Astyanax mexicanus: one gene and its partners. The main gene of each other region encodes a partner of the protein of the gene in region 4 in a complex. Links are inferred from orthologs where the notes say so. Each region holds a gene or a part of one and is shown on either strand. Other genes may lie near its edges. The genes, in order: snip1, snrpd3l, rnf113a and gpkow.

The links.
Region 1: gpkow (region 4) and snip1 share a complex: the UniProt entries of both Homo sapiens proteins name them as parts of the minor spliceosome. The link is inferred for Astyanax mexicanus from reciprocal best matches to the Homo sapiens genes GPKOW and SNIP1.
Region 2: gpkow (region 4) and snrpd3l share a complex: the UniProt entries of both Homo sapiens proteins name them as parts of the minor spliceosome. The link is inferred for Astyanax mexicanus from reciprocal best matches to the Homo sapiens genes GPKOW and SNRPD3.
Region 3: gpkow (region 4) and rnf113a share a complex: the UniProt entries of both Homo sapiens proteins name them as parts of the minor spliceosome. The link is inferred for Astyanax mexicanus from reciprocal best matches to the Homo sapiens genes GPKOW and RNF113A.

The regions. Positions count from the first base shown.
Region 1 is NC_064413.1:32,223,603-32,230,735, reverse strand, and holds the start of snip1 (smad nuclear-interacting protein 1), read right to left. Parts: upstream 3,024-7,133; 5' UTR 2,878-3,023; coding exon 2,717-2,877; intron 1,981-2,716; coding exon 1,851-1,980; intron 1,482-1,850; coding exon 958-1,481; intron 429-957; coding exon 170-428; 3' UTR 1-169. Other genes in the region: dnali1 (axonemal dynein light intermediate polypeptide 1), read left to right, coding at 3,864-3,944, 4,762-4,883, 4,974-5,143, 5,929-6,104, 6,226-6,390, 7,100-7,133. UniProt on the Homo sapiens protein: Required for pre-mRNA splicing as component of the spliceosome. As a component of the minor spliceosome, involved in the splicing of U12-type introns in pre-mRNAs. Down-regulates NF-kappa-B signaling by competing with RELA for CREBBP/EP300 binding.
Region 2 is NC_064424.1:38,883,400-38,891,085, reverse strand, and holds the start of snrpd3l (small nuclear ribonucleoprotein D3 polypeptide, like), read right to left. Parts: upstream 3,016-7,686; 5' UTR 2,894-3,015; intron 1,025-2,893; 5' UTR 1,014-1,024; coding exon 888-1,013; intron 251-887; coding exon 58-250; intron 1-57. UniProt on the Homo sapiens protein: Plays a role in pre-mRNA splicing as a core component of the spliceosomal U1, U2, U4 and U5 small nuclear ribonucleoproteins (snRNPs), the building blocks of the spliceosome.
Region 3 is NC_064426.1:20,936,927-20,944,008, reverse strand, and holds the start of rnf113a (E3 ubiquitin-protein ligase RNF113A), read right to left. Parts: upstream 3,016-7,082; 5' UTR 2,981-3,015; coding exon 2,878-2,980; intron 2,499-2,877; coding exon 2,419-2,498; intron 1,580-2,418; coding exon 1,481-1,579; intron 382-1,480; coding exon 274-381; intron 1-273. Other genes in the region: snrnp70 (U1 small nuclear ribonucleoprotein 70 kDa), read left to right, coding at 5,613-5,759, 6,942-7,004. UniProt on the Homo sapiens protein: Required for pre-mRNA splicing as component of the spliceosome. As a component of the minor spliceosome, involved in the splicing of U12-type introns in pre-mRNAs. E3 ubiquitin-protein ligase that catalyzes the transfer of ubiquitin onto target proteins.
Region 4 is NC_064419.1:20,705,900-20,713,028, reverse strand, and holds the start of gpkow (G-patch domain and KOW motifs-containing protein), read right to left. Parts: upstream 3,001-7,129; 5' UTR 2,973-3,000; coding exon 2,791-2,972; intron 2,271-2,790; coding exon 2,098-2,270; intron 1,421-2,097; coding exon 1,281-1,420; intron 1-1,280. Other genes in the region: membrane-associated guanylate kinase, WW and PDZ domain-containing protein 3, read left to right, coding at 5,702-5,784. UniProt on the Homo sapiens protein: RNA-binding protein involved in pre-mRNA splicing. As a component of the minor spliceosome, involved in the splicing of U12-type introns in pre-mRNAs.

The DNA of each region.
Region 1 (7,133 bases), on a different chromosome or scaffold from region 4:
AGTCAAGTTTTTACAGACCTTGTCCACAACATAATAGTAATGTCAAAATCATTAATAAAAGAACAACCCATTAAATTCTGGGTCAATCACAGCGATCTTGATCATTGATTCAGGGCTCCTTTAAAGAGTCCCACACAACAAAAGTACTTTGGTGAACTTTGAGTGGTGACTACTCATCAAGCCCTTCATCCTCCTCATCAAGCTCCTGTTTGGAATCAACTTCAGCGGTGTCTGAGAATTCATGCAGGAGCACATACTCGCGGCTGCTGAATCCAAATTTCAGCACATCTTTCTCCTTGAGCTCGTAGTACCGCTGTGATTCAATACGCTGGTTGTTCAGGTATGTTCCATTGCCTGAACCAAGGTCAATAATGTACGGCTTTACTCTCCTGCCTGTGGTACCATCAGCTCGTTTGTGCTCCACCAACCTGGAGATAACAAACAACAGGTATTACATTAATAAATCATATCACAAATTCATGAGGATTTACACGCTACTTTTGAAAAATTATACTGTATGGGACTCCAGGCTACAAAAGCCATAACAAAACAAGTTGAGCTTATCAATTTTTTTTTTTCATTATTTCTCAAAGTTTTTGTCTTTTCAAATAGCCTTTTCTTATCACATGGAATTGCAGGGGGGATGCAGGTGAGACATTAGTTAAAAAAAAAATAATTAACGAATCTGCCATAAAAGTGTTTTATTTACATTGTCTTAAAAAATAAAAATCACAATCCAATTTAAGTAATGTTTTTTTTTTCAGTTTATTGGTCAGTTAAAAAGAAAAGTTTGGACAAATGGGGTGACTTAACCGGATTTTTTAAATATTGACGTGTGTTTTAGTCAATGCGGTGCCTCCAATTTCTCAAAAAGGTAGAAAGAAAGAAAAAAGGCTGCCAATGCCAGTACAGTAAAATGAACAGGCACATACACCTATTTCTTTAAAGCATCCTTACCTGTACTGAAACACAGCATGCTGTTTTGAACAGGAGGGGTGATCAATAGGTATGTCGGCAATCTTTCTTTGTCTTCCAAGGAGATATGCACTCTGTCTGTGGATGTACATGACTGGAAGTGGCTCATCATTCTTAAAAGGGTACAGTCGCCATCTCCTCTTTGGGATTCGGGCCTCCGGTGGCTCGTTGTACTTAATAACAACTCCTCGAAATGTGTTGGTGTCTTCCACCAAAGCACCTGAGAGTTCAAAGTTGGGCTTCTCTTTCTCAACAGCAGGTCCAGACACATCATCTCCCTCTGTGCCATCAAACTCATGCATCTCATTTCCGCCCTCTGCCTCCTGCCGGAGACGGTTTTCTCTGCGACGCTCATTGTTTTGTTCCCTTTCTGCTTGCTGTTGCAGACGTGCTTCCCGTTCACGAGACCTCTCTCTCCGTCGCTCCGGCCCTCTTTGACGCTCTTCCTCCCTCCTACCCCGACGTTCATCAGGCCTATTTCCTCTTTCACGATGATCATCTTTTTCCTGAAGGAGAAAACACAGATTATGCTTAGTATGTATAAAAAAATCAGCATCACTTATCTACTCCCTAAAGCATAATTAGAAAAACAAAAAAAAATGGGTTAAATTGTGTTTCTGCAATTAGCAAACCCATGATCTAAATAAATATTATTATTATTTGCATGAAAGGCTGGAAATAAACCTGGAAAACAAGTTGCAAATAGTACATTGTTTTGATACAGATTTGGTTGCATGTTTTAGGGCTGCTTTGTGTGGTGGGACCATTAAATGCTATATATATACAAACAAAACTCATGATCTATACTGTGAGGTCATACCACCCAGTCCAATACCAAATGAATTATGATCATTCTATCTTGCAGTTTGAATCACCCGCTTTATCCGAACATCAGAACTGCGGTATGGACTGCGACTTCGCTGGCCTCGGGGGGACCTGTCCCTTTCCCTGTCCCGCTGCTGTCCTGATGATCTGTCCTTTCTTCCCGGAGATCTGTCTTTTCCTCTGTTTAAAGAAAACAAAATGTGTGGCAATAATTAGATTGTTGAGATATTGAACAACATACTTAGCAAGAAGAGACCAGGAGATTATATCTGTCCATCATAATTTATTTTACTTCTGGACAATCCTAGATATAAGGAGTGCATTATTAGTAGCATGATATGTTGGATCATTGACATCTGTTACAATCTGAAGTTACAGGTGCTACATATCATATTGTATACAAAAGTATCCCCATATAAACTGTAATATTCATTTATTGCAGTAGTTTATACTTGAAATGTTTTTAAATTACATATCTTGTCAAACCACCAATATAATTATCACAAAAATACCCCGAAATATCATGATATTATTTTACGGCCATATTACCAAACCATGCTATAAGTTACACAGGTTTGTTTATTCTGTCCACATAACCTGCTTCTTTTTCTTTTTCTCATTAGACTATTGTGTTTATCACTACTACGTTAACCGAATTTCCAACACTCCTTCTAGTGACACTAAAATATTGCTATTATTATTACTAGTTTAATTAGTATTATTACTACAAGCTACTATCATTAGCTTCAGCTACTACTGCTACTTCTACAACTACAGCTTCTACCACTATTGCTATTACTTCTACTACTACTGCTGCTTCTAGTAATTACTACTACCAGATAGATTAACAGAGAGAGAGAGGCAGACAGTGTGTGTTAAGCAGAAAGCGAGTATAGTAGAATAGAGTGTGGCTGACCGGTGGTCGTGTCTCCTCGGGGGGCTGCTGCTGCTCGCGCCGCTGGACTGTGAGCTGGAGCGGCGCGCGATCCGCGGCCTAGCGGGACTAACTTTCTCCTCTTTAATTCTGATCTTCCCGTCGCGCGCAGGGGAGTGCCGGTCTCTTTTCCTGGAGTCCATCCCGAACACAGACTGTTCTCTGTTCTCTTTATAGAGCTAAAACTGAGAATCCGCGCTTATTAAAGCTACATGCCTCACCACAAACTTCCACTGCTGCCAGATCTGCTCCCTGTCCGCTCAACAAACCAGCCCGGCCTGCCTGCGGGAACCGAAATTCAGTTCCGCCCTGTGGAAACTTTCATCGCCACCTGGTGGAGACGCTGATCCAGTTCACAAACAAAACACCACCCTCCTGCCGCTACAGTTGTTTCAAATCTGCGCAGTATCTGTAGATTTAAGGCAGATATTAAAATAATACATATAAATAATAATACATTTCCACCCACATGTGTAAATCTTCTTTTTAATAAATAATAATTTTGGCCAAATTTAATAATCATAAATAATCTCCTCAAAAATATGCAATTATTTGTGCACATCGATTTTCCATTGAATCATAATTGATTCAGCGTTATGGTTTTATACGTATGGTTTGTATTCAACTTTACTTACATTAAATACGTATTTCTTTGTTTGTAATATATTCGTATAGCCTGTACTGTGCTGTTGCAGTGTAGAAAAGTACACCTTTCACTTATTATCGGTGTGAGTGTAGATTTAGAACCCTAACCATTCAAGGCCTATGAAATGTTGTAAGGATTTTTAGTAAAATCTGTCAAAAGTGTCTAAACTGCGTTGTCAGAGCGAACCCTTATGTGCACTCCAGCCATTCATGTGTTAGTTTTAACATAAGCTGTAAATGAACGAAGAATTTGATGTTGGGACAGTTTTTACTAACAGCTGAGTGAGGCACTCTCATTTGAAAAACATATCAGGAAACAGCTCCCTCTAGGTACCGGATTTTGCTGTAACACCGGTTGTTGTTTTTTTTCTCACACGGTCTCCAGGGTTGCCATAGTAAATGTAAACAGTTCTCATACTCAATTTCCTCTGAGCTGAAACGTTACTGAAACTTTTTTTTTTTACTTAAAATTCACTTTGTAAAAATGGAACCTCCCCCCGACTCTCTGCTGAAGTATGATACTCCGGCGCTGATCACACCGACCACAGACAACAAATCACCTAGGGTAAGCTGTAAGAAACCTTTGAGTTAAGTAACGAAGTAACAAATTGGAGGTCTTGACTTTTGTTGAAAAACGACTTATATAACCTATACATTTTATCTAAAACTGTAACTTACACCCCATTTTGCTGATTTTTATTTACAGCAGAATGGTATTCTTTTACTAATACTAACTTCTACATATATATTAACACATTAACAAATACTTATATATGAATTTATTTTTTTGTTATATAATTTAGTTAAAGTTATACTCATTCATTGAATTTTACGTTTGAGTCGATGAGCTCATTCTGTTCTGTAGTAAAATAATTTCTAGAGCATTTAATATTTTTGTGATTCGGTAAAAAAAATGGAATGATGTTCATGATAATGATTTAGGTTATGAAGTTATATTTTCTTTTTTTATGCTACAAACTGAAATATGTGTATATATAGACTTAAAAGTTACATTTTTTTTATGAGGCAGCTCACAATAACAATAGCAAAGAATATAACTTTAACTGATTCTTAACTTAGTAGCTAATATTTAGATTTTGTTGGAAGGGTTTAAATAATGTTAGATCCAGTATGTTCATGTACGTTATTAATATTTCTTCTAATATTTCTGTGATGGTTAATGTAATTGTATGGATAAACATAATTTGTCACTGTTGTAGCTATTTAAGTGGTGATCTAATAGAATGACAGTAACATTCAATGGAAGTGGGAAAAGACAATTTAAAAATATATAAATATTTACTGAACCCATGCTTGAGCCTGTAAGTACATAAACTATCCCATTTATATATTTTTTTCTATCAAACAAACAACGAATCTAGGCTAGACCTTTGAAAGTGAGTCCACAGCAGCTGGTTTTATCTGGGCCCGTCCCGCCTCCACCTAAACCCAAGTCTCCCCCTGCAGAAACTGAAGAGATACTCAATGCAATTCTGCCACCAAGGTAAGATATGTCTTTCCTCTTCTGCTCTATTTCTAAAACAGCTCTTCATAATGTGTTCATGTTTAACGGTTATAAGCACCGATATTGCAGGGAATGGAAAGAGAACAACACGCGCTGGATTCAGCAGGTGTCCAGCACTCCTGCCACACGGATGGATGTGGTTCACCTGCAGGAGCAGCTGGAGCTGAAACTGCAGCAGAGACAGGCCAGAGAAAAAGGCATCTGCCCAGTGCGCAGTGAGCTCTACTCACAGTGCTTTGGTGAGTTTACAAAACAGCAGCCAGAGGAATTTTTAATACAGTACACGTGTTACTAGACACTGATAGCACTGTATACTGGCATGCCAGATGTCATGGGACATAGGGTTTGTATTGTGTCTTTTTCCATGCCCCATGGATACTAAAGAACGCTGCTCTGAGGTGCAGTATATACATATGGGGTCTAATGCATTTAATATGGATATGGATGCTTATCTGTTCATTAAGGCAATTCTAGCCAGATGCTGCCAATCACAATCATTACCAAGCACTGCGCTGTTCATTGAAGGTGGTAATGATAGTGACTGGAGGCATCTGGCTAGAATTGGCTAGTAATTCTGTCTGATATTTCTTCACTAGTGATACTTTGGATCAAATGAATGCTATATGGGCGCATAACTTTAAAAATGGAGTTTCCCATCCATTTGGCACCAACTATCAGGCCTCGCTCAGACAACTTATTCACAACCATCTTATGTAGTTTTTGTGGTGAATTTTTAGAAGCTTTAAACACTTAAGACATCTGCTTCCAATCATAACTTACTGTATCTTAATGAATGAAATGTAGACAATTTCATTTACCCTACAATTGGCCACTTTTTTGAAAGCATTGCTTTGCTTGTGGCATTGTACTTTACTAGCAGAAAGTGAGGAATGATTTATGATCTATATTATTCAATGTTTTTCTTTAATCACTTTAGGGCCATAGGTTCACAATCTTGTGAAATACACAATAGCAAGACATGTAAACACACAGCTCATTTAAAAACATATTATTTGTCCTTTAGATGAGTTAATCAGGCAGATTAGCATCAACTGTCCTGAGAGGGGGTTGCTACTTCTACGAGTGCGAGATGAGATACGTATGACCAACACAGTCTATCAGACCCTGCATGCTAGCGGTATGACCTTTGGCATAAAGAAGGCCCTACAGGCTGAGCAAGAGCCTTCAGGCAAGCAGAGAGTAAGTACATCAGTCTGCCTTTCTCATATATTTTTTATTTTATTTGAAATGCCTTAGTCTGAGACTATGTACTATGTATATCTTATCTGTAAACAAAATCGTAACTGAGCTGTACTTTAAGATTGCAGACTTAGAGAACAAGAATAAGGATCTGGAAAGGCAGGTAAATGAGCAGAAGGCTAAATGTGAAGAAATCGAGAGGCAAGAAGCTGAGCGGCGACAGGTTGAAGAGAAACAGCACACGGCACAGGTCCAGCTTCTCAAGCGCACCAACCAGCAACTAAAGGTACATCCATGACAATCAGTCAGCTTCTTATGCTGTCTTAGTATGACACTGAAATGTACAGTTCCTAAAAGTATTCACTCCTTTGGATGGTTTTCATTTTTATTCTTACTTAAATGAGGAAAACACATAGTCAAAGGGAAAAGTAATTTCCACACAGTGATGTAAATTAAATGAAAAAGCAATGTGAATAGAATGTAAAAGTAGTCTCTTACTTGCCATACTCGTTACGTTTTATGATGACAAATTTAACCGAAGTTTAAGGGTTGTTTAATGATGTAATTTGTATCCATCTCCCGAGTCCTCACTTGTTAACCTTTTTTCTACGAAATGTTATTTTGTCTTGATGTTATATTTGTAGCCAGGAATACTAATTTATAAGTGACTGGACTTTACAAACAGGTATATATATATTAGTTTAAACGTTCACTGCATTCAAGTCATCTCCATTCCACCAATTCTAAAATTAATAACATCTACTGATTGCACCTCTGTTAAATTAGGTACAGTAGTTTTAAAGGGGTCAGTATTTATACAGTCACTTATTTTACAGTATATGGTTTTATTTAACCGACTATCTTGTATTGTATAAACTAACATTTATATTGACAATATATACATTATACTTGTGTATACTAGCAAAAGAGGGGAAAAACATGGAGGTGAATACTTTGTATAAGCACTAATTTTTTTTTATTTTTTATTTTTTTAGGCCCATCTGGAAGAAATCATCACCCCCCAAAAAG
Region 2 (7,686 bases), on a different chromosome or scaffold from region 4:
AATGCATTGAGTATCAGAAAACTGTATACAATCAACTACGATTATGCAGTGCCATACCTTGTGCTTTAAGAATAGCTGCCTTGCCTCTCCCAGCCCCTGCTCCTTGATTCTTATTTTTCATGCTCTTTAACATTGGAGCGTTTTTCAACATATCCGGTAGGATGAGGAAGCGGATTTTGCTGCCGCGAATGTAGACCTGCTCCAGCTGCGACACTCTGCCATCTCGGTACGTCACAGTAATATTCGACATCTAAAATCCAAAGGCATTAGTATTCATTAATGCAAACATTATTTTAATTAATACACAGAAAAAGAAAGACAGGAAGAACAGAAAACTGTGCAATGCAGTTACCCCTACAACTACATACACAAGTTGCCAGTTTAAACAACTGTATTATAGGTCCACTTGCTCAGATACACCTACAGTGTGGAAAGTACAGGGCATCTCACGTTGCATTATGATACTGTGATTCTGCAACACTATATACTGCAAAAGAATTCTCAACATCTGTGTAACTGAAGAGGATTAAATACTCCTAAATAAGCAAATACCAGGAATGTGTTTATGGGTGTTAGTTTCACAGATCTAAAGGAAGTCTTAGGGAGTATAGAGGACCCTTGTTTCAATAGAAAATATCCATATTTGATGCCATGTATCAATGTATTATGTATGCAAACTATAAAACACTAATACCAATCTTTTGTTCCACTCCTAGTAAAGAAGTTTATTTACATTGTCAAGAGTGGAGGTGGGGCTGGCAACTTGGGCATAACAGATGGGACAGCTGAAACTTGGTTACAAGCAATAAGTTTACCCAAAACACAAACAAAACAAAACTTTTCAATTGGAAACAAAATAACTACATGACAAACAGTGCAGACATTACCTGGCAGTTCATATTATCTTCAGCTTCTATCAGTTTCCCCCTGTACACCTCACCAGTATTGGTTTCACAGGTCACAATGTGACCCTCCGCTTCATGAAGCACTTTGATTGGTACACCGATCGACATTGTTCAGATATCTGCAGTAAAAAGAAAGGGGGTCACCACAGGAAGGACTTCAGTAACAGATCAAAAGAGAGAATTTGCGAAACAATTTAGTCCAGCTCAGCACAACGTAGTTAGCGCTGTGCGATTTTTCCTGATTAATTCAGTTAATTCCAATTAGTTTTAAGGCAATTTACAAAACGCACGCATATATTTCTTAAACTATTTTTTTCTTTACATGTAAACCTAGTTTTGAACCATTTCTTTGCCATCTGTAGTTTGATTTTAGTAGGGAGAAATAATCAAACATAAATCAAAAATCTTTTTTTTGTGTGAAAAAAATCTTTTTTTAGGCCATAAACACTCAGCACTACATACAATATGTCTAGAATCTTAAGTTTGCATCTTTAGCTTTTAGTGGAGTTAAGAAAACAGTTTTAAACATATTTGATGAAGTATTTTTCAGCCATGTTAGCTCCATTCCATCAGACAATAAACCAACAAAGACAGCACAAATACATTACTGGCCCACAATTATAAAAAAAATAATAATAAACTTACAGAATGGCATTTAGCAATGCCAAAAAAAAAATCAAACTAAGCCAAATATTACACCCTTTCCAGAGAAGAGCAGTGATGCACTTCTGTACAACAGACATCAACCTTTATCACCAACAACTGGTTGAACCATTTACTCAAGCTTTAACTTTCACTCAACTACAGATTCAGGAAACCATTAATCCACAACCATTACATTTAATATGTGCATACCTATTTAATAAAGCTTTCATTGATCATAAAATGAACTCTAGTTTTAAGAACTGGAATTTTCTAGCAAATACATGGTTTGGGCTAGGGATAGGAGATACCAATATTTCAGGGATTTTCTTTTGTACAAATACATTATAACACTGAAATACTAAACCTTATTTTATTATTTTCAAGAACAGACAACTGCAAATGTTTTATTTCATGTAAATATAAAAGGGTTCAGACATTCAGCAGAAGCATAAACAATCTGACCAATTATTAAAATTAAAAACTACTGGATTTAGTAAAAAACTAAATTACCAAGATTGTTTTGTATAAATTATGAATAAAAAGTACGATTTTATACTCTGTACGATATGCTGCGGGTCACACCAGGCGAGGTTTTTGTCGGTATAAGTAAATAAATGTTTTTTTTTGTTGTTTAAGAGTCATCTGCACCTTTCATTTTATTGTTGGTTAAAAGCTAAAACATACGGGTATAAGCTCGCTTTTAAATTTATACAGGGATGTGTAGTCTTTACGTTATAAATGTGTATATCGACATCGGCATGTTTAAGTTAGGTTTGTAATATTGGAAATCGTCATTAGCACAGAACTCACACATCGGTGCATTTCTACTCTTTATCTTACATGTTAAGGGAAGATTTAGTCAATCTGAAAGATTATTGTAAGTCATTATCATAATTAATACCGTTTGATTATAGTTATTTAGTAGTGGTATAATTAGAGCAGTTAACAGATGTTGGTAAAGTTTGTCTGTATCTGGGGAGAGCTGAGTATTATATTTAGCATCTGAGCTAAACACACCTCTAACTATACAGCATATATTCTCCCGGAAACAGACAATACTATCCAATAACTACAGCCGATAAAGCCCGAAGTAGAGGTATGTTTAAGGGTGTAGGGAATACAAAGGTGGTTTAGATGTAGATATAAATTTTCCTGTTTTAGGCTTAGAGTTTAGCTTCAGTAGCTAAAGCTAACAGGCTAACAGTACAGAAAGAGCAATAAATCAGCGATTCTCTGCTGCACATTTACAGTTAATAAAGCCTGTATAAACTCGGCTTTACCCACAGATACAGAGTAACAGGATTAAACCGGGTAAAACAATGATATAAAGGATATTTCTGTACCGGAGTCTTTGCGCTGAGGAAGTCTTTGTACCCGCTCTAAAGCAGCGTGCGCGTCCGAGCAGCGTTCTCCCGCTCCCACAATGCACCTCAAATACACCGCCTCACATCCGGGCACTTCAGCACTGCATTGTGGGAATGAATGGTAGTTAAGAACGACCGTGGGCGTGTGGTCAGGGAGGAGGTTTGTTAACCACCAGGAGACGTTTCAGATACCGTCCAAATGAATGGGGTCCTATAAATCAGTTTCTCGTTAGGCTTGTTTGAGGTACGGCTGCACCTGCACCACCTGGGGGGTGGGCGTTTCGTGAAGAAGACACGAAACACTTTTACCAGCACTGAAACACTTTTATAAACTGCGATTTCCTGACGGAAACACCCCACATGATGCTCAGCCACTGCCCCGCGGACAGGACAGGACAGTACAGCAGCTGAACCCCGCTGGGCAGTAGCAACAAAGACAATTACTGCTGCTCCTAAAATGCATGCCAAAAAACATTATATATATATATATAATTTGTTTTGTCCATAACTCGACTCTCTCTCGGAGGGTCCGCAACAAGCACTACCTGCAGAGGCGGTTCTTTAATTAGGCAAACCTAGGCATTTGCCTAGGGCGTAGATCAAATCTGTCCTCCATAGTGGCCCCCAAATCTGACCATCCCAGCAACAGTAAATACACAAAAACAATGTTAAGTTGTTACTTATGTAAAGAAAAGAACAAAATATTTATATTAAAAATATCAGTAGAATACCGAATTAATGTCTAAATAATAATTGTCCAAACACACATACCCCCCTCCCTTGCTTGCATTGAACTAGTCCATAATATGATGACGTAGCAATGTGCCACACAACGTGACTTCAAACCAAAACAGCGGGAACTGTACGCGACTAGAGTGAGGGCTGTCACAGTGAAAATGAAGCGGAGTTATGAAAGTGGTTCTGCTAAACGAAAGAAACGGGCAGAGAGCAAAAGAATCAAAGATGCACTGCCAAAACTGACCTTTTTTTTTACACCTCCTGGACCGATCAGTGTTTTTGGGGCCGATTCCGATCGCTGATCGTCTTTTACCACGATGGGCCGATCGTCGATACCGATTTTGGGCGGGGCCAAATGCCACATTAATGACACACAGGTGCCTGGCAAACCTGGTACAGATTCCCCTAATTACATCCACGCCTAAAGCAAACACTGGTAATTTACGCTGCTAGTAAATAAACACAAGTGTGACTGACCAAAATAAACGCTTTTTAGGAGAGATATAACTTGTGTGTAAAGGAACTGCAGCTTCCTGTAAGCGAGCAGTTTCACCGGTTTCACCAGTTTCATCCACACACAGCTCTGATAAACTGCTTAAGCCGATCGCCGATACCGTATTTTGGCTGAAAATTGTCTGATACCGATACACTGCCGATCGATCGTTTCATCTCTAGTTATTTGGTTTATGTGTGTATGTTTCAAGAATGAGGGCCCCTTGTTTTTATTTTGCCTAGGGCCCTAAAATGGCTAGATCAGCCCCTGACTACCTGTGTGTTAGACCCTCCCTTTTAGTCAGAAATCACAGTTTGTAAAAGTGTTTCAGTTCTGGTAAAAGTGTTTTGCGTCTTGAAAATTTGTTTCAATTTTTGGAAATTTGTTTTTCTGAAATGTAATGTTTTTTTTTTTTTGCCCATGTAAAATATTTTTTTCTTTGGTAATTTAGTATTCTTGAATGTAATTATTTTTCGTATGTAAATTTGTAATTTTGTAATTTACTTTTCTGAAATGTTTATTTGTTTTGCACCTCAGAGCCACCATAGAGAAGTCAGGTCGGACAGTCTCCACCTGCGACCAACGTGAACAATAGCGGATCTCGCGATGATTGCGCTGTTTGCTTACTTCTGGTGTTTAAAAAAATAGTTTATGAGTGAAACAGAGATGACATGAGTGTTATTAAATTGAGATAAAAAAAAATTTAAGTATTCACAAACCATACTGGCATGTTACAGATGTATTGTGTAGCACTAAATGAATAATGGGATTAAACTGTGCATTATTCAAAAGTCTGTTCTTCAGACACAGAAAAGTACATTTTTTAGACACTGAAGATGAATCACACATAACCTTTAGAACTTTGTTTTTTTATTTGCAGACCAGCTTTTCTGTTCTTTGTTCTTGGAAATAAATTCAACATCATGCTCATTTACACAGCTTTAATTGTTTAGTGCATTTCGCAACATAATATAATATATGGAAAGAAAAGTAGATCTCAGTGTAATAGTTATGTAGTGTTTTTAAAGAAAATTCAGAAGGCTTTAGAAAACAGTAAAAACGTATACCATTTTTTAAATAGTTTATTTAACAGGGACAGTTTACATTAATTTACATTACTGTAAATGCACCAGAATTGGCCTAAAGACAATTTTTCAATGGTGTGCAGTGAGGCGCTTCTAACCCTTCAGAGAAGAGGTGACAATAAATTCATGCAAATAATTACATAATTTAATCATAAAATATATATCATAGCTATTGTAGGTGTAAGAATTTCTTTTATAAATTAACTAAAATAAAAAACAGCAACTAATTCAAAGCATTAGTCTTTGTTTTTCAGTTGCTACAGGACTCTTATCTGACTAAAAGCGGTTGTTGGTGAGGACCACTAAAGGACTGTATGTGTGGGTTCTGATGATGGGATGAGTGTTGTATGGGGGGTGTCGGTTAGAACACCATGAAGCAGTTGTCTCCTTTTCGTTTCTTTATTAAACTTCACACTTCAATTACATGTGCAAGAGTCTCAATGGTGTGTGGTTTGGTTGGAATACACGCACACAACTCCTCACATGCTATTCTCTTGAGGCTGTGATCTAGCCAACCTGAAGTGGTAATTTGCCTGGAGCAACAGAGTAAAACTAAACAGCAGTAGAACTAGACCAAACTGCACGTGAAGGGGGCGGGGCTAAGATTCAATGCCAGAGTCTTTCTTACAGCGGTACTGAACAATAAAACTTTTTAAAATGTCTTCTGCCCCCACGTGACTGCGTGCCCCATCTCCTGATTTTTGAGAAGGGTGTAGTAATGTTCTTTTGTGACTTCCTGGATAAGTTGGCCATGCCCTTTTGGAATAATTTTGGTCAGTTTGTTTCTCCTGGAAAGGTTCACTAGTGTTCCATTTTTTCTCCCAAAGCTTTGGAAATGACTTTATAACCTTTTCCAGACTGATAGGTGATCAATGACTTTGTTTTCTCATCTGTTTTTGAGTTTCTTCAGATTGGGACATTATGTGATATATGTATGACTGTATATGTATAATTTTTTAGATATTTTATCTGGTTAATGTTGTTAGACGGGTTCTATTTAATTGATTTCTTGTTTCTACAGGTCTGGCAGTAATCAGGCCTGGTTGTGGTTAGTATTTAAATGATACAGCTTTCCAAAAAGTGTGATTAATTGCAGTTCATTAATGGGGGGCAAACACTTTTTCACATAGGGCCAGACTGGTTTGGATAGTTCTTTTTTCCTTAATAAAAAGAAAGGGTGTAAGGGGCAAATACTTTTTCACGCCACTGTACTGTATATATATGTACAAACTCTAAATAAGTCATAAGCACTGAATACTGTGTATTACTTATATAAGAGGAAATTATAAACGATTAAATATGAACCTACCTGACCTACTTTATATGTAAATGGTAGTATTTTTCACATTAATATATATTAATTAAGGTCTGCATTTTACCCTTTTATAACAACAACAGCAGCAGCTGCGTAGTCGTGTACTGAAAAGAGCGTTCTGCTTTACCGGGCGAGAAGTGCGTCCTCACCCCGAAACAGTCCAGAACTCTACAGTTTAAGTATGCGATTTCGGATTTATTAAACCAACTCAGCTCATGGCACTGAAGAAAAACTGAAATATATAGGTATGTTTTATTTGCTATACATCAGTGTAGTTTAAAATGAAATGAATAACCCGGCCAGATAAATATTCAATATTTTAATTTAAGTTTTGACCGTTTAGCTCCGTTTACTCCCATTATTATTGGACTCTCTATTATTGGGCTCCCTCTAGCGGCCCGTGCAGTCACTGTCTGGTGCTGATAACACTTCTGCTGTATGAGCAGCAGAGGGCGCTGCTGAACTGTTTACATTCAAATACTGAAACACTGCTTTAAGAGAATATCAATACCATGGGTCTTATTTTTTTAGGGTTTAGAGTAGATTAATACCGATGCTGATTCCTTTACCAATATCAATACTGAGAGGTTTAATTAATCTATTTAATGCAGGAAAAACCTTGTGATAAAAGTAAATGGGAACACTTGGCATCTGCAGAGTAAAATAACATCAAATATTTATTTAACATTATATTCATTCCTAATATTTATCAGTTAGTGTTGAAATTTTAACATTCCTGTATAAAGTTTTTAATGTTTCAATGTTATACATGCACGCACGCGCGCACGCACACACACACTGTGCTTATCAGAGTTACTAAGTTACCAGCAAGTTAACACAAGGTATACCTTGTGTTAACTTGCTGGTAACTTAGTAACTCTGATAACCTAACTCTTGCTTTTCCGTTCCTAGAGCAGTCTGAAAAGTCTTTGTGACTGCACTTGAGGATACTTTCAATGTTTTGGATTGACTGACCTTTACTTCTTAGAACATTACTCAAATTCTATTCACTGTATACCAACTCTACCTCTGACTGAAAATGCCAAATTGTGCAAAACTAACATCTTAGCAAGAGGTGCTACTTTAAAGAATCTAAAGTATAAAACATTATCTGGTTTGTTTACTTAAAAACTCCATGTGT
Region 3 (7,082 bases), on a different chromosome or scaffold from region 4:
CTTCCTCTTGATTATATTCCAGAGGTTTTCAATTTCAATTTTTTTCAACTCATCATTTTTAAGTGGTCTCTTATTTCCAGAGCTGCATATCTTTAAAAAATCTTTAAATATCATGGTACAATCAATACCTTTTCCCCATATCGCCCAGCTCTATAAACTCTATAAACTGATTTACAATAGCATACATATCATGCACAGGAGCATAACAGATGAAGAGAATTTTTTGTGAAATTAACTACAAATTCAGTTATCACTGACAGATTTGTTCCTCACCTCCTGAATTTTCTGGCTGCGCTCAAAGATGGCCTGAGCGTCTTTGTCTTTTTCTGTGTCCAGTGCATACACAGCTGTTGCCCCCATGTCCTCTGGCCCTTCAGGTTTCTGTTTCACATATAAAAATCAGCCCATCAGCAAAGTTTAAACAGAATTAAAAAGGAAGAAGAAGAAGAAGAAGAAGAAATCATCATCATAATAACTGCTCATGTAAAAACGCAGGTTGAATGCATTAGAATATAATAAAACAATAATATGAATAACATACCATTTTAAAAAAAGCATTAAGGATTAGATTTTCCATAGTAACTCTGACAGCACTGGCAGCTCTTGAGAGCAGAGCATAAGGCTGTAATTATATTTTAATTATTTGGTACCTCATGGAAATCTATGTGGGAGTTTGCATTAAAATCTACCCACTTCCATTCCCCCACTCCCTTTTCCACACTCAGGGTTGTGAAATGGAAATGGACAGGCTGGTTACTTTTTTGGCTGAACTGAGTTCTAGTAAGGTTGCTAAGCATATTTACCACCACCACTAGAGTAGTATAGATGGGCATTTAGAACAATGAAACAAATGTATACATGTGCTGATTAGCTAAACAGTGAGACTCGTCGACAATTGTTCTTGCAACCCGCGCGAGCTCAACATTTGGGAAAGAGAGGGTGGGGCAGAAAACTCTCTCCAATGTTTGAAAATTGAACTCCTGAAGCTATTTCACACTAGGGGTGGGCAATATTATATCGTATACAATATATCCTGACACAGAAATATCATGATATTAAAAATACATATCGTGATAATAGGGCTGTTCTGTCTTAAAAGAAGTCTATTATTTACTGTGAAGCTTAAGGTGTATTTATTGTATAATTGTTTTAGTTTGCAGTTTATATGCATGCTCTAAATATTCTGCAATAATATTTGCAGCATCATATTATTTTATGCTATATAATTTATTTTGCCACATTATGATTATTCTGTTATACTATTATACTATATTCCTGAAATGAATGAATTATTTTAGTTTTCCTATATCGCCAAGTATATCGTTATCGTAAAAATACTCTGAAATATCATGATATTATTTTAGAGCCATATCGCCCACCCCAATTTCACACACTCGTTTCCATTTATTACTGATTGTTCCTTTGAACACAAAAAAGAGCAATTAAACATAATACTGATTCTTGGGGCAGGTTTTCTTACCGCTGAGCGGGTGGATTTATAAGCCACTGTGATCTTTTTGGCTTCTTTGTCTTCTTCACTTTCACTTGATGAGACGGCTTCCCGCTCCACCTTCTTTGTCTGAAACAGGGATTTTGGTTGGTTAATGAACTAAAACCATAAAATATAGACAGGACTTGCAAAGCAGAGTCACAAAAATAATAAAGCAAATAGAAAACACACTAATTAACAAAATAAATTACTAACACACACTGTATTGTTAAAACATTAGATATGCTGTTATATCTAAGGCAGATATGTAAATGAAAAATGCACTGTCTGTCGTTATGAAATTTTTGGCATTACCCAAAGACCTAGCCCTAGACAAATATGCGACAACCTGTTTTGATGAAGATTTTATTATTTTTTGGTGAATGATGATTCTGGTTTCTGGTTAATGAGCCGAGTTAGGTTCCTAAGAGCCATTTTATTGGAACTTTGTGCTGAGTTGGGCACAGATTCATAGAGGCCAATGTTACAGAACCAGGCACAAAAAATAACGCATTTAGAGGTGTTAACAATGTAACCAGAAATCACCAGGTAATGAAGAAAACGTTAAAATAGGAGAGAAGAGAGTTCAGGAGGGGCAGGAACAGATATGAGTAAGTAATTTTTTTTGCTACTTATGTTACTATTAAATGTTCCTAACTGGGATACAGAACTGTTATAAAGGAACTAATAAAACACTAATGTCACAATATTATTAATTACTTTAAGATAAACAGCAATACTGATAATAAATCCCTTAAATAAAAAAAATACTAAGTCGTAACCTCACGGTTGTTTTGCCATTTGCTTCAAACATATATTTTGGGCTAGTTTAAGCTTTTGAAGGGCGGGTTTTAGACTGATTTAGGCTGGATATTTGTGTTGGACCTGGCAACGTTGTATTCCATAAAGACCTGGATTAGTGCACTCACCCTCTGGAACATGGGGTTCGCAGAGACGGGTTTCTTCTCTCTTCTGACCACGGCGTTCTTCTCCTCATCACTGCTTCTGTCTGACACAGGGAGCAGAGTTACTGAGCCTGATTCTCTGGAGTAAACTCTATATTCAGACCAAACACTGACTAAAACCGAGGATATAAATATGGAGCTGCGTCTTAATTCTATCTCTCATTCCACCTTAAACAGAGCGGTGGTTCTGTTCTAGCTCTAAGTTACCCGTCCGGACTTTACAGATAAATAAACACAATATAAAGATATATTCATAATAATTTACAGTCTTTAGGCTGCGCTGTCCGCGGAGGAACAGAACACATAACGTTACATATGAAATACTCAATCTTCGCCTCCTCCTCAGCATTTATTACTTGTATTATAACAGATTTAACCCCTCTACACTCACTAAAATAGTAAAAACCGCCTAATAAAGTTTACCTTTGTCGCTGTCGCTGGCTTTTCTCTTCCGAGCTGAAAACTTCTTACTGGATTTTTTGAACAAAAACGTGCAGGTCGCTTTAGTCTCCTCGGATTCCGCCATCTTTAACTAATGAAAATAAACTACACTCAGAGACAGAAGAGCAGCTACAGCTTTAACACAGCGCCTCTCGCCGCCTGGAGAGGAACTGCACGGATATACGACAGCGGATTCACAGCAGCAGTTTCAGGCCTGTGGCAGCGCTATACCTACTGTAACTTTATCCAGGTTTATACACTTTTTAACCAATACATTTTCAGGACTTTTTCATGTCTCCAAGGCAAATTGTCATGTCTATACAATCTTTAAAACATCAGTGCGGACAATACAATCAAAAATCAACTAAAACTATAAATAAAAAAAAAGTAATGTTCACACAATTTATGATAATAATAATAAAATGTGTGTCAGATCCTGAGAGCTTCATTGTGTAAGGCTATTATACAGAACTAACTCTGAGCTGATATATTTGTTAGCTCAAAATAGCTTTTCTCAGTCGATAAATGAAAACACACATATGTAGCCTGCAAATTTTAATTTTACCAAACCTTTCTGGGTATTTCTAGTTTTCCAAAACCTATCCAGGCATGGAAACTGCTATTTTAAATACCATAAATTTTTTAAGGGTTGACTAGATAGAGCCTGGCTTCTAGGCTGGCAGCTGCTAGACAGGAGGAGGAGGAGGAGGAGCAGGATGAAGAAGAAGTGCCATCGCATGAGTGGAGGTCAGGAAGATAAGATAATATAGTATAAAAATATAAAAATCGTTAAGAAAGCAAGAAAAAAAATAAGAGACCACTTCAGTTTCTCAATATGTGTCTCTGATTTTACTATTTATATGTGAATGTTTAAATAAAATGTTGTTTTATACTATAAACTATGGATATTTCTCCCAAATTCCAAATACAAATATTGTCATTAAGAGCATTTATTTGCAGAAAATGAGAAATGGCTGAAATAACAAAAAAGATGCAGAACTTTCAGACCTCAACTAATGCAAAGCAAACAAGTTCATACTCAAAAAGTTTTAAGAGTTCAGAAATCAATATTTGGTGGAATAACCGTAGTTATTTAATCACAGTTTTCATGCATCTTGGCATGTTCTCCTCCACCTGTCTTACACACTGCTTTTGGATAACTTTATGCTATGCCTGGTGCAAAAATTATAGTTGTTTGGCTTGGTTTGATGGCTTGTGATCATTCATCTTTCTCTTGATTATAATCCAGGGGTTGTTAATTAGGTAAAATCAAAGAAACTCTTCATTTTTAAATGGTCTCTTATTTTTTATATTTTATAATTTAATGATACAATACATACATATGTACAAATAAACAGTTTATGTAATTGTTTTATAAATAAAAATACAAGACATGCCGCACATGCAATTACAACATATACAATTTAAGGTACTGAACACATAATAAAGATAAAATACGTCTCACTGAAAAAATAAATACAGAAACATCGTGTGCCAATTTAGGGGCAGGATTCTTCCAATACGGCCTCTGAAGGGTGCATCCCCTGAATTGGGACACACTGATACCTTCTGACGTTGCCAAGTAATGCCGCCAACTGTGAACTACTGTCGTAAACAATGCCCCTTCATGAATTGTAGCGATTTACGGCGTGGCGCCATTTTGAGAGAGCGCGCAGCGCGGAGAGGAGCTGGAGAACTGAGCAGTAACGAAACTAGTGAAAGCGACCAGTACAGACTGGTGTTACAGTAACAGTCTACACTGGGAGGCTCTGTGGGAGCTGCTGAAGTCGTTATTTTGCGGAGCTCGGAGATTCTGCGCGGATTGGATGCGGAGCTGAGGTAATTTAATGTCCGACACGAGGCCTCGGAGAAAGCGGGCTGTGCTCCAATACGCGCTCTTGTGAACTAAATTCTAGAAAGCTTTGGGAGTGGGCACGTTTGGCTAGAATTTTTTTTATTTAATTATATTTTGTTTTAGTTAAGCGGAGTAGGTGCGTGTGGTCTTCATGATGTGGCTTATAAAGTGTATGTTTGCTAGTTTAAGTTAAAAAGAGTATTAGTTGGAACCGAGTTAGCGTTAGCTAAGTGCAGACTAGTAAGGGACCTTGGTCGAGGGCGCACCTTTTGCTCGCTTATTTAAACATGGCTAGCTGCTAGCTAGCACAACCAAGCCCTATGCGCTACGCTAGCTACCACACACATAGGTTATTTAGCTAACATATATAGGTTTCAGCGTCAGTTTGGTACTCTTTATGGATTTACACTAAATGTAGGTTTGTATTGGTGGATTAATTTATCTTAATTAATTGAGTAAATAATTTAAATTTATCCATGTAGATTAAATGTGTTGTGTTAGCTAGCTTAGCTTGCTTGTATTGAGTTTTGTAATGCTAAGCTAGCTGGCTAGCGCTAATTTACTATCTTAATGTTGTGTGTGTCTAATGAGCCAAACTGGGTTCTGAATTGATACTTTTACCTCACAGGAATTGGGTTGTTTACTTCTCTGATAGTGTTGATTTTACTTGTCTGGTCTCTGTAGTCTCTTTGTGGCCCATACCTTTATCAAGCAGTGGGTCTCAGACCCTGTTCTTTAGAGTTTGACGTTTTTAGTTTCTTTGTGAATTCCTTGCTGGCCTAATCTACAATGTAATGACATTTAATCGTAATATTGTGTAATATTGTTAAATGGCCATTTCTCTGCTCTGTTTAGGTGAACAATGACTCAGTTTCTGCCCCCAAACCTGCTGGCCTTGTTTGCCCCGCGGGACCCCATTCCGTTTCTGCCACAGTTGGAGAAGCTGCCCCATGAAAAACACCACAACCAGCCGTACTCTGGGATCGCTCCCTTCATCAAGCACTTCGAGGTATGAATTAGTAAAATTGCATGTTATGCCACACTTGTAGGTACTTAATGTTATGTAAGTACACTTGTAGGTAACTTTATGTAGTGTGAACACTTATGCCAGGTTCACACTACCCTGTTTTAGTCCAGTTTTTCAGTCACCAACAGTTTTTTGTTGACTGCTGACAAAAAGTCTGCTCAGAGCCAAATCAGGGATCTCTCAGCACTTGCACAGTTGTGTAACATGAATTAGACTCACAGCAAGTATTTGGCATGCTAGATATCTGACCCAGTCTGCGACTGGGAGTCAGGAGCAGCGGCTACATACTGGCAATGAAATCATGGAGAAAGAGAAAACCATTGGTCCAAAACACATCCCTGCGTTATTCACACTACACGACTTGTTGTTGAGACACTACACAACTGAATGTCTACACCGGATCTCAAACAGCAAATTTTTTTGCTGTGGGAAATCACAGACTTACCTGGCTGCTTTCCAGAAACACGTTTCCTTTCGTGCGCACCCGGACTAAACACACATGAGAACTAGCGATGCCATGCCAGAGAATCTCCATAGAGGAGAAAACACACTTGCAATGTGTCGAACATGAATATGTTCATATTAAGCAACTGAGCAAAATCAGACTTTAAAAATTTCTTTTTTTATTTATTTATTTTTATTTTTTTTATAACTGTCTTCAACACGGATCTATTAATCAAATGTTTCAGTACAGCAGACATAAATTTTAAGCCTTTTAAATGTGCACTACCTGTATATCGAGGCTCAGCTTGCCAACCAATCAGCTCACAGTACCAGTAATGCTAGTGCTTTTGCAGTGTAAAAGCTTTTTTTCTGTAGATAAACTAAAATATATAGGCAAGCTTTCTTTGCTTTTACTGAAATTAAAGAAGTACTCAGAACAAGTAGTAAATTATTATTTTTAATTTGAAGGTTTAGCATTTAGCTCCATTTACTATATACAAAACCACTAGTCATTAGAGGTATTGCCGTATTATTAATATTTATTAGGATCTTAACATATAAATCTTTTTACCTATTTTTAAAAACCTTAGCTCCTCATCAACTAGAGAGATTCCTCTGTGATAAGTTGTAAATCAACTGTAATGGTTTTGTACAGGTCATTAATTAATTTTATTTTAATCTTGTGTTGCGTTTTTAATCTTTATCCTTCCTTTCAATCAGGACCCTAGAGATGCACCGCCACCCACAAGAGCCGAAACGCGCGAGGAGAGGTTGGAGAGAAAGGTGAGAATATTGTGATGTTTTTATATGATAGAAAAAAAGCTTAACAAGGACTAGTGAGACACATTGTCTGTGTTTTCT
Region 4 (7,129 bases):
ATGTGTGGTCCTCCACGAACGAGAACCACTGGGCCAAGATTTCCTAAATGCAGTCCATCATACTGCTCTTACTCAGCCAGATTTTTTTTTACATAAAAGCAGACACAAAAACTAGCCAAGGTCTAGTTTAGCTGATTCCTGCATTACACACTGACCCAAATACTTCTGTTAACCATTAATGCTATGTTTTTTTTTTATAAAATAATGAATGCTAATTCAGAAACTGTTACAGTGAAGTTAATTATTATTTTTTATACCGCATTTTGTGAACTATAAGGCGCACTTAAAATCCTTTAATTTTCCCAGAAATCGTCAGTGCTCCTTTTAATCCAGTGCACCTTGTGTGTAGATTTTAAGGTTGTAAGGAGCAGTAAAGCCACTCCGCCGTATTGCAGTATTATTCAGAAGTTTTAGTTTAGTTTTAGTTTCAGTCCAGCATCTGGACTGAAGTAGCAGTAGCATTAGCTGCTTCCCGCTATTTCCCCGTTTAAAGGCCTGTACCCTGCTACTAACCCCAGCTAGCACTGCTGTTATAGCCGCTAATGCTAATGCTCCAGCCTTAGTCCTGGAGAAATTTTGGGAAGCTAAGCTAACTGTTGAAAGCGATTTACTCAGCCAAATAAACAGTTTTTAGATTGAAATTTGACTTTTTATATTTAAATAGTGTTGTTTACTTAGTTTAGCTTTACTTACCTTAGTAAGCTACCCTATAGGTTCCTTATATTGTATCTTAAAATATGCCTTATAATACAGTGTGCCTTATAATCTGCTGTACCTTATAGTGTGAAAAATACTGTAATTTATTTAAAAAATTTAGCCCATTTTTCTCATCAATTTAGATAGCCAATTATCCAATCCCTGTACATGTAACTCCTCCCGTCACTAGCAATGCCCCCAACACTAAAAAGCATAGACTTGCAAATGCCTCCTCCAACACATCCAAAGCATCACTGGCTATCCAGCAAGCTCTGAGGAAAGTTCAACGATCCAGCTCTGATCCAACAGCTACCTACCAACACCAGATTAAGGGTAATGTAAGGGAGAGCCATATACCAACCCAGAGAGAGCAAGGTCAATTGTGCTTTCTTGGACAGTGGCTGCTGATGGCAAGCAGTAAGATCTGGTATTCGACCCGAATTCAAATCCTTGTGGCAGCACCTTATTCTTCTATGACAATAGCTTGACGAGATGTGACAAACCGAGCCCCCTGTGAGCAGGTTTAAATGATTTAGACAATTAGTCCAGTTTTTATTAACTACTTTCCGCCACTCCCGACTCACCGACTCAGGTCTGAGATCCACTTTGATTTGATCGCCGTCCTCAAAGCCCTCAGGGACCTGATTCTGCATGAGCAGAGGGATTGTGAGGTTTGGGTCAATCTGAGTGCCATTTTTCCACCTCTCCTGTTGCTTCTGAGACTCTGTGGGACGAAAAAAAATTACAGGAATGTGTGGGTCAGTGCTGATATGATGCTGTTTGATTTTGTTAACATAGAGTAAGAGTCAAACATTTGGTCATACGTCATTTTTCCTCAATGTGTTTTCTTTCTTTTTACGATTTTTACACTGCAGATGACATGGCTCTCCAAACCATCTTTGACCATCAGTAAATTTTACATTTAATTTGGAAATCAAGAGACCAAAGTCTGGAGGAAGAGCGGAGAGACACACAGTCCAATCTGCTGGAGGTCTAGCGGGACGTTTCCACAATCAGTTATGGATGTCATCTGCTGGTGTGGGTCTACTGTTATATTAAGTCCAAAGTCAGTGCAGTGTTTTCCTAGAAAGTCTTTATGCTTCCCTCTGCTGACATTTTACAGCAGGACTTGGTATACTGCCCACACTGCCAAAAGTACCAATTGGTCTTATATAATATTCTAATTTTCTGAGATATTGATTTTTGGGTCTTCATTGGCTGTAAGCCATAATCATCAACAACAAATGAAATAAATGCTTAAACATATATATATTAGAAGAGTTTACTAAAATAAAAGTACCTTTTTAATGATATTCTATTTTGTTTTAGATGCACTAGTATGGTTACAACTCCAATGCATAAAATAGCAAAGAAAACAAACTAACAAGAGCATAAACACACCTTCAATAAGCTCTTTGACAGCCTGAGACTCCACAGAGTCCTGGTTCTCAGATGCAGAGATGTCTTTGTTGGGTCCTTTGTCATTCTTTTTTCCTCCTCCTTCTTCTCGGTACCAGCGGTTCTTCTGGATAAGTGGAATAATCAACTCTGATGGTTTCTCCACTGGCGTCGTTCTACACAAGATTTTATATCAAACATTTAGTAACATCTACAAACTTCACACAAAGCACTGTAGGTTAAATCACACAAAAAAAGTCACACAAAATAATGTAGGTTAAAATGTAGGTTACTGGAGGTTTCCAACCCTGGTTTAGGAAGACCTTCTGCCCAGCAGGTTAGCTAGTGGTTTTAAGGACTAACAATCTTTAAATGATGAACACCTTGGTAACTGACTTTAGTACCTAGCTGGATTAGATACTTTGGAAACAAGGTAAACACCGAAACGTGCATGTATGGGGGTCCTCCATTACCTGGTCTAGGAAACTCTGGTCTAAACGACAGCAATCTACAAAAAAGCTGAACGTTTTTTTTGTAAGACGCACCAGTTAAGTCGGCTTTACTATGTTTGGTAAACCCGTTTAGCTGAGTATTAGCATCAGAATCAGCAGAGCTGGAGTTATTAGCACCTGGCTAACCGGCACTATATGCTCCAGTCAGTTAGCATTAACCAGTTAGCTTATAGCATTAACCTACCCTTTCAGCTCCTTTCCATCCACCTCCACCACATAATCTCTCTCCACGGGCTTCTCAGACTTAATCTTAGTGAGAGTTTTACTAAACCCAAAAGAAATAGGGCCCGCTTTCCTTTCTCCGCTCTCTATATTTACAGGGACCGCATTAGCCTCCGCTTCTCGTTGCCTCTCCGGCGAAGCCATGTTTGATGTGTGGGTGTGCGCGCAAGTGATGCTGGGAAATGTAGTTTTAGTTTAGTATGTCGTTCTGATGCGTGGGAAAAAAAACAATTGTGGGAATTAAAAAGACTGAAAACCATGGAAGGCCATTCCAGCCACCTAAAATAAAAAAATCCAGGACATTTTCTCTTTTATTTCAAAGTTGAACTAAAGTTTAAAAGAAAAAGAAACAAATCCCAAAATACAATGTATGTCCCGTGCCTAACCCCGATACATATAGAATACATAATAATACAGACGAATTATACATTTAAATATAGCAAAAATATAGATGTGTGTGACAGTCGCTGTTGACATTTTAAAATGCCTACATTTGTTAAACATTAAATGTTGGATATCTTTTCCAAATGGCAGTATTTAAATTTGCTTTAGGAACATGTAGTCAAATAATACTAAAGCCCAATATTATAAAGAGAAGAAAAACACCAAAGAAATCCAAGTATGTTCATTTTGGACATTTTTGCTTTTTATGATAAATAGACCAACTGAGTTTTTGTTTGACATTCAACTGAAGAAATGCTAAATTAATATGATAAATGGCAATAACACAGGAAACAAACAGTTACAACATTGACTGAGCTTAAAGGTGCCACAGAACAGAAAACTGTATTTTGCCATAGTTAAATATTAAAGGTTTGTTACACACCATGATTCTTAGAAATGAACATCAAACAAAATATCTGCACAATTCCCAAACCCTTAACATTTCCTCACACTCAAAATTGACATACAATAGTGTTTAGTCCAGGATTACAACACAGTTAATAATTTCTCATTTTTATTATTTTGATGGTTAGTTTTCTGACACAGCCATCTTCCACACTGTGGCGGGGAAGGGACATTAAGAGAGGTGTAAAAGAGTAAAAACACAAAATTGTAAGTTTGCTAGGCTAAAACCTAAACTTAGCCCGACAGCCCCATTCCAAACAATGTAATTTAGTTGCTTCATACACATGATTGGGGGCCCGTGTGCACATTTGTGTTCACTCTTGGGCCACTAGTTCTAAATACCGGGAGATTTTATCTGACTTGCAGGCATCAGGGAGCCGTTATTGATATGTGGTAGACTCCCGCAACTTCCGGGAGACTTGAGCTTAAATCTTGAGTAATGCTTAAAACACTTTAAAACACTAAAACATGCATTCTAAGGCACGTTTTATAAACTATGAGATGCAAGATCTAAATCGTTATTTATTACGATTAATTAGTGTATTGTTGTGTTGTATTAATGCTTGTCAATAACAGTAAACAGTAAATGTGAGTGTGATCTGTTTCTGAGTAAGGCAGAATGATGTATATATGCATAAATATTCTCTGATTTATGTATAGGTAGATTTGTGTAGAAACAAATACAGGTGCTGAGGATTCATAAATTTAAGATCATACGTGACAGAAAACAGAGTGAATCAGAGAGTGATTCAGAGCCCATACTGTGTGACTCGGGAACACCTGAAACCTGCTGATCCTGATTCAGGTGTTTGGTTTGGCCAAATTGTCCACTTTTGCCTTAAGCCAAGAGAGCATTGCTGATATGCTTTACGCTCACCGCGTTTTTTTCACTTTCATACATTTGCCTTGTATTTACAGCTTTGTTTCTGTGCAGCTCAGCAATTTCAATGAAACTGCTAAAGTACCTGACGCGTTGTTACACTATAGGGGCGGATCTTCTACCTTATTACTTCTTTTCCCTCCCCTCCACCCCTCTGCTCTCTGCCTCTACCGGTATCGCTTCTTGATCCTGACTACTGTTTTGGGTCCTGAGGGATATTCCACTATGCGACTGTGAGCTCAGCCTTTTCTTTTTTTGTATTGAACACCGGGAGGGTCGCAGCATGCCGCGGCTACACCGGAGCTGTGAGACCCTTCGGACGTCCCCGACACGGTTTCCCGAGTTTCACAGCCTCAACACCTCGCCGCTTCAGGCTACAGCTAACCGAGCTGCGTCCTCGGGCGCCGGGAGGATCATGTAAGCGTCCCGTGTCCTCAGAGGAGACGGAGCGGTGAGAGTGGAGAGTTAAATAAGGCCAGTTTCAGCCCCGGGGGACAGACTGACAGCATGCTGAGGAGGGAGCAAGACCTGAAGGTAAGACTGAAGGCTGAGCCGGACGGGGGTCAGTGACAGTGTAACAATGTGTGTGACAGTGTGTGTGTGTGTCTGACAGTGTGAAAGAGTGCGAAAGTCGGTCGATGAAGATGTGGTTGAGGACAGGAGGGTACCGGCGGGCTGCTGCTGTGTTTAAAGCTCAGTATAGGATTTATCTTCGAGTGTTTCTGATAGCGTGTATCGCTGCCCACCACTGCCACCCTGCCCCTCTCTCTCTCTCTCTCTCTCTCTCTCTCTCTCTCTCTCTCTCTTTCTGTTTGTCGGAGAGTCTGGAGCGTTTAAACGCTTTTTTTCTGCTGTCAGATCACTCTGACGGTCTCGTGCTCAGCTGGCCAGCGTCCCTCGCGCATCTCGCTCTCCGCACGCGCTCGCTCGCGCGCACTCACTCTCTCACTGACACGCAGCGCGAGCGAGCGACCGACCGCTCACTTCTATGGCGGTTAAAAGTTATCCACGGTCGTTTCCAGCAGACCGCCGCTGACCAGCCTTTTGTAGCGAAGACTTCTCGTGATTTTTAGGCGTTTTCTTCGACACAAACCCGATTTTCCCCCTTTTTGACCGCTTAGGGGTCAAGTCTAGTTCGGGGTCGATGTATATAGACGCGTTTAAACGGGCTCTTTTTCAACGGCTGAGCTGCCTGAGGAGAATGTGTGTGTGCCAGAGGCCATGCAGGTGAGTTTTAATTTAAATACTGGTACTACGTGAGGGTGTGTGTGTGTGTGTGTCTGTGTGTGAGAGGGAGAGAGAGAGAGAAAGTGAATGTGTGTGTGTGAGAGTGGTAGATGGTAGTGGTAGCTAGGTTAGTTAAGATATATGATCTAAACGGCAAAATTACAACTTTCTACACTTTTCTCTCAGAATAAAGTGACTCAAATACACCGAATTATGCTAACAAGTTATTATAGTTATTAGCTCATGTTTTATCGAATTATAGTTATTTGTGCTATTACTGGACACAGGTATTCAAATGAAAATAAATTTTACATTAATTACAACCTTCACAGCTAAGTTATAAGCTGTATTAAAAACAACTAGATTTAGTTTGTCTAGTTTAGGCACTACCAGTTCATTGATCCAACACCAATGTTGTAATTGTAATAATTATCTCTGCGTACCGAAGAGTGGAGTAAAATGAATACTACTAGGCAGATATAATCTACCTCTACCTCTGATATCATGGAAAACAGAGCAGCATGTCCTTGTGTATTAAACAAGCTTTATGTTCAGATCGTCCTGACATCCTGTGATGTGAGTATTGAGCATGTACACATGTTGATGCTAAAGCGATACACAGCTCTGGAAGAAAATAAGAGACCACGTAAAAATTCTGAGTTTCTCTCATTTTACCAAATTGAAGACCTCCGGAATATAATCAAGAGAAAGATGGATGGATCACAAGCCATCAAACCAAGCTAAACTGGACATTCTGTTGTGTTGTATCATTCCTCTCTAGTCAGTACAAACTTACATTTTTGCACCAGGTGTGGCATAAAGTTATCCAAAAGCAGTGTGTAAGACTGGTGGAGGAGAACATGCCAAGATATATAAAAACTTGTGATTAAAAAGAAAAGGTTATTCCACCAAATATTGATTTCTGGACTATAAAAACTTTGTAAACATTAACTTGTTATCTTTGCATTATTTAAGGTCTGAAAGCTCTGCATCTTTTTTATCATTTCAGCCATTTCTTATTTTCTGCAAATACATGCTTTACTTGACAATCATTTTATTTGGGAAAAATGTTGTCCACAGTTTATAGAATAAAACAACAATGTTCATTTTAGTCAACCATATACCTATATTAGTTTCAGAGAAACTAATTCAGAAACTGAAGTGGTCTCTTGATTTTATCTAGAGCTGTATATTTAATGTACTACCAGGTCACTGATCCAACACCAATATTGTAATTGTAATAATGCCCTCTGTGTATCGAAGCGGTTATTCATCAGTTTACTAGCTATATCTCACATACAATACTTGTGAATGCAGTGGTCTGGTAATGGTGATGTAGTGTGAT